Arabidopsis thaliana: one gene and its partner. The protein of the gene in region 2 purifies or fractionates together with the protein of the main gene of each other region. This does not show direct contact. Each region holds a gene or a part of one and is shown on either strand. Other genes may lie near its edges.

Evidence for each region. Proteins that work in one complex are often made in the same cells at the same time.
Region 1: the proteins of RIF10 (region 2) and EMB1241 fractionate together in Arabidopsis thaliana (co-fractionation; one large-scale study listed by BioGRID). This does not show direct contact.

The regions. Positions count from the first base shown.
Region 1 is NC_003076.8:5,838,705-5,843,881, forward strand, and holds EMB1241 (Co-chaperone GrpE family protein), read right to left. Parts: upstream 3,155-5,177; 5' UTR 2,936-3,154; coding exon 2,684-2,935; intron 2,122-2,683; coding exon 1,606-2,121; intron 1,069-1,605; coding exon 856-1,068; 3' UTR 635-855; downstream 1-634.
Region 2 is NC_003074.8:917,291-925,366, reverse strand, and holds the start of RIF10 (polyribonucleotide nucleotidyltransferase), read right to left. Parts: upstream 6,006-8,076; 5' UTR 5,826-6,005; coding exon 5,532-5,825; intron 5,350-5,531; coding exon 5,281-5,349; intron 5,154-5,280; coding exon 5,047-5,153; intron 4,947-5,046; coding exon 4,904-4,946; intron 4,826-4,903; coding exon 4,742-4,825; intron 4,476-4,741; coding exon 4,411-4,475; intron 4,319-4,410; coding exon 4,162-4,318; intron 4,056-4,161; coding exon 3,999-4,055; intron 3,915-3,998; coding exon 3,801-3,914; intron 3,701-3,800; coding exon 3,437-3,700; intron 3,332-3,436; coding exon 3,257-3,331; intron 3,029-3,256; coding exon 2,915-3,028; intron 2,785-2,914; coding exon 2,692-2,784; intron 2,531-2,691; coding exon 2,352-2,530; intron 2,256-2,351; coding exon 2,072-2,255; intron 1,996-2,071; coding exon 1,948-1,995; intron 1,841-1,947; coding exon 1,768-1,840; intron 1,644-1,767; coding exon 1,570-1,643; intron 1,482-1,569; coding exon 1,374-1,481; intron 1,291-1,373; and 10 more. Other genes in the region: AT3G03700 (Plasma-membrane choline transporter family protein), read right to left, coding at 7,040-7,237, 7,323-8,076.

The sequences.
Region 1 (5,177 bases), on a different chromosome or scaffold from region 2:
TTACTTCTTGACAACAAAACAATTCTGTAACATTTGTTAGTCAACAACTGGATACAAATATATTCGGTTCGCTTCTGGTTAACACGTTTCTCCAAAAATTGAAATCTGATAACCAAAAACCGGAACAGAACCGCAAATCAACATTTGTACTTGTACGTTCACACAAGACATGCATTGTCCTAGGAGACTAAAGATGGACCGGCCGATTACACCTCGTATCCGATCCAAAAATTATGTGATATATTATCATCATTGAGGATAAAATTTACTATTGATTGTTTCACACTTTCACTGTATGACACTATTTATTCTATTACCCGGTTTAATGCATTATGCATGGATCCCAACGTTACTAGAAATATCCAAAAAATAACAAAAGAAAGAAGAAAAAAAAATCCAATCCAAGATACCCAACATACATGGCCCTAACATTTCTTTACACAAAATGGACAACTCCTCTTTAAGATATTTAAGTACCCAAAGAACCCTAACCAAAAGAAGAAAACTTGGACAATAATTTGGACTCGTAGGCCATAGTACTCAAATACAATTTACTGTATTGACTTTCTGTTTGTTCCAAACTTCCAATTATCAACATTTTCTCTGAATCTTCCGAATTTTCTAGCTGTGTATAGAGAGATGAAAAAAAATCAATTATGGCATTCCCTTTCGGATTGAATACTTAAGAATTCATTAAAAATGTCGATCTATATTACTTCTAGACTCTGTAGAAATGATATAACGTATCAATAACAATAACAACAATAATGGTAAAACAGACCTCTCCCTCTTTTATCTCTGTATCTCTCTCACACACACGCACACAAAACTGCTGAGTCTTGATCATCTTCAATTTCAAGATGAAGATGATTCTTCTTCTGCGCTTCCTTGTGCTGTGGCTTCTTCTCCTTCAGCTTCAAGGGGCTTTTCTGGTCCAGGTCCAGCTGATACTTTCACCATTGAAGGACGTAAAAGCCTTTCACCTAGCAAGAAACCTTTCCTGTATTCTTCTAGTACTATACCCTCTTCGTATTCCGCAGAGTCTTCTCTCATTATTGCCTCATGTAGCTTTTTTCACACAACAACGAGAAAAGCAAAAGGATAAAAAAGAGATGTCAGCTGTTAGGGACTTGAAAAGACCAACAAACAAAAGGATATCTACCAACTCATTGTCATTTAAACCCAACTTGCAAAAGTAACAACCACATCTTACATCTAAAGTCTCCAAAACTTTAGCAGATTCATGCTTAGGACTAGACGCATAAGTGGTTATGTATTTCAAGCTTTGCGATAACCAAAAGGCATCTAACTGAGATAAGTGATCCTAAACCTCAAAGATTTATTGATCATTTGCATCACAAAAGTATCATTCAGCATAATTTGTTCCATCCATCTGATGTAGCTAACTTTCAAAGTAACAACCATATCTACGTTCTGCTCAAGATTATTCCGGCAGCCCTATAGCAACGAATTATCCTAACTTCCAAAACAACTTTGATTTTAAAGATCACGTCCATAGTTAAAAATTAAAACCACCAGCAAGCTGAGCAACAAAAATACAGTTGTCGATCTCCGGAAAGAAGAAAAGATATCATAGTAACTAACCATTGGATCAAACTGCTTGCCGACTGTCTCCACATGGATAACACCAAGTGATCCCAGAATTTCTACAAACTGTTTGTATATGCTCTGATAGCTATTAGTGACTTTCTCTTCTCCCTCAGTCTCCACCTTAATTTGGGATTTAGCTCTCTCGAAATTATCCAAAACAGCCAAAAGATTCTCTACAACCTCTCCTTGAGCATTTGAAACAAGGTTTAGCCTTTCCCTCTCAGTCCTCTTCCTGAAGTTGTCGAAATCTGCACTGATTCTTATAAGCCGATCCCTCTCCACCGATAACTCATTGGATAAAGACGCTACTTTATCCGCAAGCAGAAATTTTTCATCTTCTATGGACTTTAAAGATGCTTCTATCTCAGCAATCTTCCCCTCGTTGTTGTCTGCTAAAGCTTCTTTATAGGATTTCAGCAACGCTGTGATAACAGCTGCTTCTTCTTCCTCAGCTTCACCCTCCTCAGCACTGGCATTTTCATTCTCGACATCAACAGCACCATCCGTCTCCTGCTCCATGATTTCAGAAGTGAAACAAAAAATCAGAAAAAGAGCAATCCAGTTTACATAGACGTTTCCTATCTATTCCTGATAAAAGCTGAGACAGAACACACACTAACGACACAATTTTTTAATGACCTCCTAAACAATCAGATTAACACCAAAAAAGCTTCAGAACATTCTGTGGCCCCCATACAAGAATCACGAAATCAAAATTCGATTTGGATAGTACATACACACCATGGTCTTAAACTACTAGTGAAACTCCTTCATTTTGGGAACACACCATACCACAAGAATATGAAATCTGTCATTCATCGGATTTGGTATATCCTAAGAAACATTAGCATTCACCATTTGACTCCTGAATAGACTGAATACAATCCTATTCATTGCTCTAATTCATGTGAACGTTCCTTCAGAGGGTAATATAATCAATAAAGCTTAAAAATTTAAGCAAACAACAAGCAATTCTAAATTACCATATCCCAAATTCGAAACCCTAATCACCGAACTAACAATGAAATAACCCCCAAGAAAGTTGAACAGAAGTGAGCCGAAATCGAAAAACCTGAACTTCGGGTTCGTTCGATTCCACCTCCGTCTCCGTCGTCTCAGCTTCTCCCGAAGCAAAGGGTACGAGGTTTAGTAAGCGGAGAGGATAGCCGCTAGAGACAGACCGGAGAGAAGCTCGGCGAGAGAGTGAGACGCTAACGTTTCTTCCTCCGGCGAAAGATACGCAAAAGGGCTTAAAGGGTACAGAAGGAGCATGAAGAAGAGTTGGTGTGAGATGTAAAGACGGCGTTTTGAGTAGACCGGCCATCGAAGAGTTCGGAGAAAGAGAAGGAGAGTGGCGGAGAGAGATAAGGAAGATAGAGAGAGAGAGGGCAAACGGTTCTACTCTTCCTCGTCGGATCTTTTGTTTTGTTTCGTTTTTTTAACCGTTGGATTTACTTTTCGTTTTTACTATGTTGATCGGACCGTTGTTGTTCAACAGAGATTACGTAGGGAGTTTTTCAACCGTCGGATTTAGATTTTCTTGAAACTTCTACAGTTTTGTGAATATTTTATATAATACAATAAAATCTCTGTAAATTAATACTCGAGAAGGCTGTTCGATGTTCTATGCCAATGATCTAACTGATTCCTGGTATGATGTCTCCAAACTCTTTGTAAGTTGTCTTCCACTCTTATGGTTCAACTCTTTTTCCAAGTCCACTTCATCACGAATCTCTTCATCTTCTCTAGCGATGACTACACTTTTCTTCAAGTGGGAGCAAATTTATCCAGGAACTGTTGTTCTGACATAAGAATATTTGAATGATTTGTAGTTGTATCAATTTCGCCTTGCCTTTCTTTTGGATCTGAATGTTTCAAACATTTTCGACAATAAAATATGTTTTTACCAATTTGTATCAGTTTTGTTATTGCAGATTCAAATTGTATCATGATCTCATGCATATCGTTGTTGAAAATAACATAATAAGACTTGAGATTTGGGAAATTTTTAGAAGCAATTTTGTGTTATTGACTATAACTAGTTCTACAATTTGGGCTTAGGCTTTATTTACAAAAGGGTTTCCTTAAGCCCAAAGAGATGTACTATATAGTTAAATGTTTGTTTTGGTCAAGTACTAGTACTCAATATGTTATAGATGAAAAGTAATAAGAGAATATCAGGGTTTGCCGGTTTGGGTTGACAACAAAGAGATAGGAGACCATCCATGTTTAATCTATTTTCTAAGTCCGCACACTTAGTTTTGTCAGAAGTAGTGGGTGCAACGGACCTTAATCCTAAATCAGAAGTATTAACTACAAAGTGACTAAAGTTTTAAACTAATTATTAAATATCACCCGTTGTTGAGGCTAACATATCATAAAAGATATTCTTCTTCGACCATTTTACTTTTTCATTTTCCAATTTCTCAATATATTATTTTAGTTAAAATTTTGTAAGTAGATGTTTATCAAAAATTCTCAAGTAAATATCTAGCATATGTTTGGAGGTGACAATCCATATAAGCTTTTAAAATTGAATATCAAATAGTTTAGTTCAAATGTTTAGAATTGGAAGCTAAATAAAGGAAGAATTTCAAAAGCATCTTTTCGAATACCACTTTTCAAAAATATTATATTTCTAATTGTTTATTAAAAGTACTCCTAAGAATATGAGGTTTATTCAAATATGTGTGTAACTTTATTAAAGTATACAAACTACTTTTATATGTGTGTAAAAACTTATAAATATTTTATAAATACAGTATAAAAATAACTTATAAATACCTTGTAAAACAATACCTTGTAAAACATTTTTAAATACCTTCTAAAATCTTATTAAACCATATAAAATACTTTATAAAACATTAGATCGAATCTCCAATTAGTAGTTTACACCAAAAACTTTATGAACTTTTGAGATTTAATGAAGAGTATTTTCTAAAAATAAACACCTAAAAAGTTTCCAATGGTGATTAACAAATTGAACTAGCTGAATAAAATGAGTACTGATAAGTTGAATAAAGATAAGCTGAATAATAAAAAAGAGTTGGATAAACTAGATGAGATGAATAAGTTAGAGAAAAATAAAAGGTAACCTCTATATGTTTTCAACAGCTAAACATATTTCAATATTAATTAGAAACAGCTAAACAACAGGTTGTATTTTATTATATTAATTCTAACGCATGCAACGCATGGGTCTTCCACCTGGGTATATCATATAGATTATGAGTCTGTATCAAATTGGTCATCACGTCGATTGAGAAAAATAAAAATAAAGTCTCTAATCATTTAGTTTCCTTCTTTTTATCGTCCCGTAATTCTCTATTTGTTTAACTTGACAATAAACTTAGATCTCGTTTTTTTACAATTTTTTTTTAAAAACAATAGATAAATATGTCTAATTTTCTTACAAAAAAGTGTATAAGATATTCCCAAATAGCCTACATATAGTATATATTTTGAATGAACGATTCCGCTTAACACTATCAGTGAATTTTGGGAACTCAAAAAGGATTATGACCAAGTTTTGGGTTCAAATCCTACCCTCAGCTAGTTTTCTCGTA
Region 2 (8,076 bases):
TTAAAACTCTTGAAGTTGCCAAGTCCATCTAATAACTCGAAACATAACAAAAATTGGGAAACTTTGACAAGCTGAAGAAAAATCATCTATCCCAAATAAAATTTAGTCAAAAACATTAATATATCAAGTAACCTAAACGGACTAATGAGTTTGCAAGAGAGAAGACAACAGAAAGAACTGATGAAATGTCTGAGAATCTCCCAACATATGACGTCTTCAAAAATGTTATCCTCCTCCACACCAGACTTGCCAACATATATGCACAGCTTCAAGAAACTGCCAAGAAACATAATTACAAAACATTAGAAAAAAAATCAAGAAAAGACATTTGCAACTTGTCTTGTCTCAAGTTTTCAAGATTTCTCAAGTCGCACCTGTGGTTCCGTTGGAAGAAACTCTCCTCCTTTCGTAATGAGTCTCACGAGACACAGATATGAACAGTGATCTTGTTTGCATTCCACTAGCTGATTGTAGCTTCACCGTTGACTAAACTTTCTTCGTTGGTACTGCTATTGCTATTCATTGTCTTGTCACTACTACCACCAGTTGCTCTCCTTACATCTTTCTTCTTCAGGACAAGTTCATCCCCAGATGAAACCTTTGATGCTCCTGCAGCTGCACGGTCCTTTGACGAAGTATTTACATATTTCCTTTGCGAACTCTTGTCTTTGGTAGAATCACCTGCCGGCTGTTGTTTCTGACTGTCTTTGTCTGTCTCTGATTCGGGAAGTAAAGCCCGTACACTAAGTCGAAGCTGACCCTTTTCATTTACCTGCATTATCCATGTTTCTTTGTTCAACAACTCTCTAATTATCATTTCCGATTAGTTATATTGTCTCTTGAGTTATAAAGACACAATAACTCGCTGACCTCTATTAATTTGACGTCAATGCGGTCTCCTACTTTATAGGCCTGAAAGGACAAGAATGAGCGTATGTGAAAACCTGAATAAAAGATGAAACAATTTCTATAAAGGAAGGGAATCAATGAGTAATGCTCACATCCTCTGGTTTTGCAAGCCATTCAGCACTCAGCTCACTGATATGGCAAAGACCTTCCCGCCCAGGCGCTATCTCTACAAATGCACCATAAGGAGCCATTGACTTGATTTCACAATTCCTGATACAAAAAGAAAGGTAAGAATCCAAATCTATTTACGCTTTTTGGTCAGAGAAGGTATATGAAGGATACATACCTGTAGATATCACCAACAGAGGGAACCATTGTCAATCCACTAATAATCGCTTTCGCCCTTTCTAGACTCGCTACATCAATTGCCATAATTTTGACCTTGACAAAGATAAATATTAAGAAGTTAGGATAAAGAATACCCAATAAATATAAAATCACATTTTTTTGCATGTATATCTCACAGTTCCATCATCTTGCATGTCAATGGCCTCAACTCCAGATTCTTCAATGATGCTCTTTACTTTCTTACCTCCAGAACCAATAAGAGAGTATACTTTGCTTGGATGAACCTGCAGCACATGAAACGCCAACAATCTTTAGTTCAAGGCAGAAAGGCATTAGACTGGGCAATCCTGGAAAAACTAGTTGAAGCCAAACCTTCATAATAAGTATCAATGGAGCATATTTTGAGAGGCTTAGCGTGGGAGGCGGTGAGCACTTTGCCATTTCAGCTGCACAAAAAGGAAAAAAAAAAATATAGTAAATTACATCTTTTGTGGCATACATTTTCCAAGGAACTAAATCTCCCCAAGTCTACTATCTTGAGACTAATAATTCATGAATAACATTCCTTACCAAGAATATGGCGACGCCCAGCTTTTGCCTGTATTAGAGCCTTTTCCATTATCTCTAAAGTAATTCCTCCTACCTAGTTCATGATTAAAGAGAAGAAGTAAGAAAAGATGTTACCAACATATTAATTCAATTGCCATTTAAAACCATTTCGGTAGTGTAAATTAAGAAACGGATGATGACCTTGATGTCCATCTGAAAGGCGGTAACGCCATCTTCATTCCCAGCAACCTATTGACAAACATATCAAAACTTCAGCATTCAAGTCAATGCAAGGTCCTTCAAGGGAATCCTCATATTTTCTGACCTTAAAGTCCATATCACCAGATGCATCTTCAGCTCCAGTGATGTCAGAAAGGATAAGGGGAGATCCATCACCTCCAAATTCTTCAGTATCCCAAACCATTCCCATTGCTATCCCAGCAACAGAACATTTGACTGGAACTCCAGCATCTTGCAAAGCCAAGCAACCGCCACAAACAGATGCCATACTGTCACATTTTGAGATCAACGTAAGAAGCAATTACCAAATTTGTCATTCAAACAAACTAGGCGTGCAGATCATAAAACCAGATAAAAAAGCTGACCTTGAAGAACCATTGCTTTCAATTACTGTACTTTCAACACGTATTGTGTAAGGAAAGTCATCATCACTAGGTAGAATGGTCTCCAATGCTCGCTCTGCTAGTGTCCCATGACCTATTTCTCTTCTACTGGGTGCACCAATTCGTCCAACTTCACCAACAGACGATGGAGGAAAAGTGTACTGCAACATCACAATGACTAGCTTAGAAAATCTCTTTAAGCACAACAAGAAAAATGAAGAACGACACTAAGCAACTAACCACATCAAAAAGTTTACTTTGTCTAATAAAAAGTCAACTGTAATAATAATAACAAAGTGAGAAGAACAAATATAAAAGAGACCTGAAGATAGAACCTCTTGTATTCATCAGAACCCTCAAGGTTGTCAATTCTCTGCGCCATTTGTTTATCACCAAGCGTAACAACTGCCAGTGCCTGAAAGAATCATACTAAATGTTCATTAGCAAACCAATTGCCTTAAAATACATAAAAGGCGATAAGAGAAAGGATCGACATATGAAATAGCCACGCAGGATTTCTCCAGAAGACAACATTCCTATGTTACCTGTGTTTCCCCACGTGTGAACAGAGTACTTCCATGTGCCCTGGGAAGCAGTCCACATCTTGAATTAATTGGACGAATCTCATCCAGAGTCCGACCATCACTTCTTTTACCTCCCTATGGATGAAGAAAGATGTCATATGGAATCAATAAAGCTCATTCCGAAAAAGTGAAAACAAAAATGAAAATTTAGGAAAGAATTACTAGGAGACAATGTGAAAGATGTGTGGCTTCAAACATGTTAGATTCTTTAATGTAGTGTAGTTCATAAAATGCTTCAGTGAGAAAATAAATCCTTAAACATACATGTCTAGGGTATAAATACCAAGAAATCAGATGTTGTACCTCAACAATTCGCCTACGTAGAAGCTTCGACGATACTTCTTTGAAGACTAGCTTGACATCTACTTCAGAAAATAGCTAGCAAAGGGAAATGACTAGTTTGTTAGCATTACATTTAAGAAAAAATGAATATGATAAAAGGTCACATTCAAGTTATCATGTTGAAAAGGTTAAGAGACTCACTAAAGGAATAGGTTTCCGAGGGATGGGTCTAATGTGAACATCGCCTTGGTCCACCTCACCTTCAGGAACAACTTCCTCATCCTCGTCTTCATCCTCCAACAGATCCGGTTGTGCTTCTATGGTTCCAAAAGCTACCTCATCAATAACATATCCCTTCTCTGTCAGTATTGTCAAGACCTTTTCTTCCAGGGACGATATGGCTTTCCTTCTCGATATTTTACTCTTAATTTGTAACGCTTTTGTCAATTCCTCACCAGCAAGTTCCTGTGTACATAAAACAATTCATTTTAAACATGAATTACAAAATAATATCAATGCAATTCCATTCTGGCAAAACGAAACAGAAACAAAGTGTATAACATACTTTCACATGCTTGTATAGCTCTGGAGGTGGTAATCTGATAGCGTCAAGCATTTTAGGCTTTCCATATTTCTTTGCTAAAACTTCAATAGCAATGCATGTAGCCTGTACAGCATCCTGGTAAAAATGAAAAAGCCTCACATTTAGTATCTAATTCAGACTTTTAAAAATTGAAATAATCCGAATTAAAAATCGAAATACCTGTCCAACTTTAACAGCTTGGAGAAGCATTTCCTCAGGAAGAAAATTACTGTATCCCTGCAATCCCAGATTTTTCAATGAGCAAGGGCTGAGTATAGAAAAAAAAAAAAAAACAGGAGAGAAAGGGCAAATCTTGCAAACTCAAGTAAAGATTAGAGTTTACCTCTATCGTTAGAATTGCAGTATCTGTTCCAGCTAGAAACAAATCTAGCTGTGATTCTTCCATCTCCTTCACGGTTGGATTGACAATGAATTCACCCCCAATAAGACCAACCCGAACTCCTGCAATCGCTTTCGCATTTGGTACTTCTGAAAGAGCTCTGCGGTATTCATTTATTACATAGCCATGTCAACTTTGCCAAGATAAAAAAGCTTCACTCATATGTAAACGGAAAAAGATGACCCTACATACACAGCAATTCCAGCAGATGTAACAGCTAAAGCATCAGGTGCGTGTAATCCATCGTAGCTCAAAACCTGAAACCACAAACAAGCAACAGGTCAATTACGAATGAGACTCAAACAAAGGAGATGAATACAACCATCCCATATATGTTTAAGTATAAAAAAACAATGTACATCATTTTCCGAAAAAGGTAGTAGGCACACAAAACAGGAGACGCCATCATACAGAGACAAAAGAAAGCGCAAGTCAAAAGGTATTTTGTTCAACCAAAGAGAGGCAAAACAGACAAAAAAAGGGCCTATCGGAACATAAAGATATCCATGGAGAAGAAGCATACCCAGGATAAAATCTGAGTTTCATTGTAGAAACCTTTGGGCATAGTGGGGCGTAGAGGTCTATCGATCAACCTACAAATCAGAACCTGCATAAAAATCAAAAGTAGAAACATGTTAAGAAGGATGGCGAATTAGACGAAACCAAAACCATCATTAGTACATACCTCGTGATCTTTGGTTCTCCCTTCTCGCTTAAAAAATCCACCACTGTACCATAAGAAGGTCCATTTAGATCATCATTTAGGCAATGATATGGTCTTCTTATAGCAAGAGACTCCAAAATTGCAAGAGCTTGAAAGACGCTTACCTAGTTCGACCTACAGCTGAGAATCGCTCCTGATAGTGAACATAAAGGGGAAGAAAATCTGATGGCTCACTCGGAACATCAGCTAGACAAACGGATGTGTAGACAATCTACAATGACAAGTAGACAGAGTAAAAAATAAAACAAAGCTTCCGCATCTAACAAACCGATTAAGAGATAAGCAAAAACATTTAAAAAGTTGAAAGTTTTGGAAATTGAATGAAGCAGCACACTTACAGTTTCTCCATCTGTGACCGTGACTGCAGAACTTGCTTGTCTCCCCATGAGACCAGTCTCAACTAAAATCTACAGAGTAGACAAAAAGAAAGAAAAGATGAAAAACTTTGAACAATGTTCAACACATTCATCTAAACAGCGAGCTTTGCTTCTCTACTATGGAGCTAAAGGTCTCAAATCCTACCAATCAACTCCGAATTCAAACTTGCAACCAATGAAATCAAAAGAGTACAGCTTTTTGAAGAAATTACCTCTCTATTTCCGAATGGAATTTTGACAGAAACGTGGTTAGGAAAAGCCAGAGACCCATCGCCGACGGAGTCAGCGTCGTCGGTATCATCAGGCCTAACTAGAGCTCTGACACTGAATTTACCGGCGCCACTTCCGGAGAGAAGAGAGAGCGAGCACAATTTTCCTCCTCCGCCGCTGCTGCGTTCGCCGGAGTGAAAACGAGGGAAATTCCGGGAACGGCAAAGCTTGCTCCGGCGAAGTGGCCAGAATTGTGGAGTACTACTGTGAAGTGCGTTACTGGGACTCGTCAACATCTTCTTCTTCTTTGAGAGAGAGAGAGAGAGAGAGAGTGAGAAAGAGAGAGACTTTATCCGTTCCTTGCAGACGCGGGAGCTTCTCCTGTGACTCTGTGTGAGGCGTAGCTAGTCTTGTTTCCGGTTTCAAATTGAACCGGGTTTTAATTTCCCAACTGATATTTTCAGAACCAATCATTTATTCCGGACAATTAGGTCTGATTCGTTAGAAATTTGAAATAGAATTTGTCTTTAAACATTAACTTATGATTAATTAATATAAATTTACTGTTTAATTTGATGACCAAAAATGAGATTTTTTATACGAACCTGTGGATAGACTAAGCCAGTTGAACCGATTGGTTCGGATCAATGTCAAAAGCTGAAACGATCGAAATAGAAACGACTGCGTTTTGTAGAAAAGCTAAATAATAACAAGAGCTAGCAACATGTCTACTATTGCTATTTTTTTAGAGTTTTTTAGCCAATCAGAAAGTTCTATTTCAGATCCACTCTCACAAAGTGCGCGTAGAGAGCGTGAGAGCAATTCTGTAGGGGTTTACCTTCTGAAATTGTGCCTTTTTTTATCAACGCACTTGTCTCTAAAATCACCATCGCGTGAATATTTTTTTCTTTTCCTCTCTAAACCAGTATAAACCAAACACAAAATCAATTGTAATTTCAATACCAATATAAACTTTTTGTTCCGGTTCGAGATCTCTCCTCCTAAATTTTTGTTTGATTTCTTCAATCAAAAGCTCTCTACGACAAACTGCAAATTCTTCTCCAGAATCTGCGGCGGATTCCCTTATCGGGTATTCGATTCCAAATGTGCAGTAGCTTCTCTTCCTTCTATTGCTTCAGATTATTGTTTTTTCCGTTAATCATTAGAATGTACTTGTGCTTAATGTTGATAATGATTGTGATTATAATCACTAGTATACTTGTGTCACATATGGAACAAATTTAGTTATTTTTTGCTGTAAATTGGTAGTATACTAAAAACTCTAAGATTTTTAAGTGTTGAAAATTTCAATAATCCTAAGTCCCACTGTATAATGGCTAAGTTGAGAGAAAAAGTATGTGCATTCTTTCTTTAGTTGGAGTTTTGGCATACATATAAACACATTGAAGCTAAGATTTTTGCCTATCAATAGAAGAATCTATAAGTTTGAAGAAATAAAGTAGTAATCCTTGTTTTTCTTTACATGTATGTAGCGAGACTCCTTCATGACTCAACAATTGTTATAACTATCTTCTTCTCTGTCTCTACCCACCTCAAGCTCCCTGTTATCTCGGTGAGCACTTAACATTTGAAGACGCTGAATACGTTGTGGAATTGTTCCATCAAATCTCATGCTCTGAGGATCTTCAGAATAAGCTACATAGTAAGCCAATACACATGCCTGTAGCCACGCCAAACCTACCCTTCCCTGAAAACACTCAAAACCAGGTACACAACATAAACCACTTTGTCTTAAAGTCTTCTTCTTAGTTTTATAAAATTAGCTATCTTACCACAAAATATCCAATTATGAAAGCATAGAGAGTCACTTCCAGGGCATAGTCCTTGTGTATTAACAACATCCATATCCCAGCAGTTAATGAAGAGACAGCTCCAACAGAAACAGCACTGAGAAAACAGAAGGAGCTAGTGAGATCCGAGTCAATCAGTTTCTCCAACCCTGTTGTGCTTCTGAACTTCTTCCAGGTATCACTCGAAGCCTCCATGAATCCTTTATCATAGGTTCCAACATGTACAAAGCCCCATCTGTTTCCAAGTGTAATGAGTTTGTTAGCAATGGTAGAGAAGCAATCAGCACCTGAATACATGACCTCATCGCTGCTCCCTGACATTAGATTAACACTTCTTATTGATCCTCTTATGAATACGATGATTGGAACAAGCGTCGAGCCAACGCAGATGCTCCCAGTCAAGTGTTTCATAGTGATGCGGAAAGCATTCCAAGCGTCCATATCTTCTCCATGTGCAAAGTTTACATATCTCGCCCGTGAAATCGCAACTTGTTGAACATTCTTGATAACTTGCATCGTCCATGCTAAGCTTATTATGATTACGGATATGAACAAGATATCAAGATTTGTTCTAGTGGAAGTTGCTCCTCCAATTCCAGTCACCAAGAAACCAGAGTAAACGACACTGACTATGATTGATAAGCAGACTACTTCTCTGGTTCTTGCAGGTGGAAATGCTGTGGCAAGTGATAATATTTTATCGGTGTACTCAAGCCTCGGAGTAATCCAGCAACCA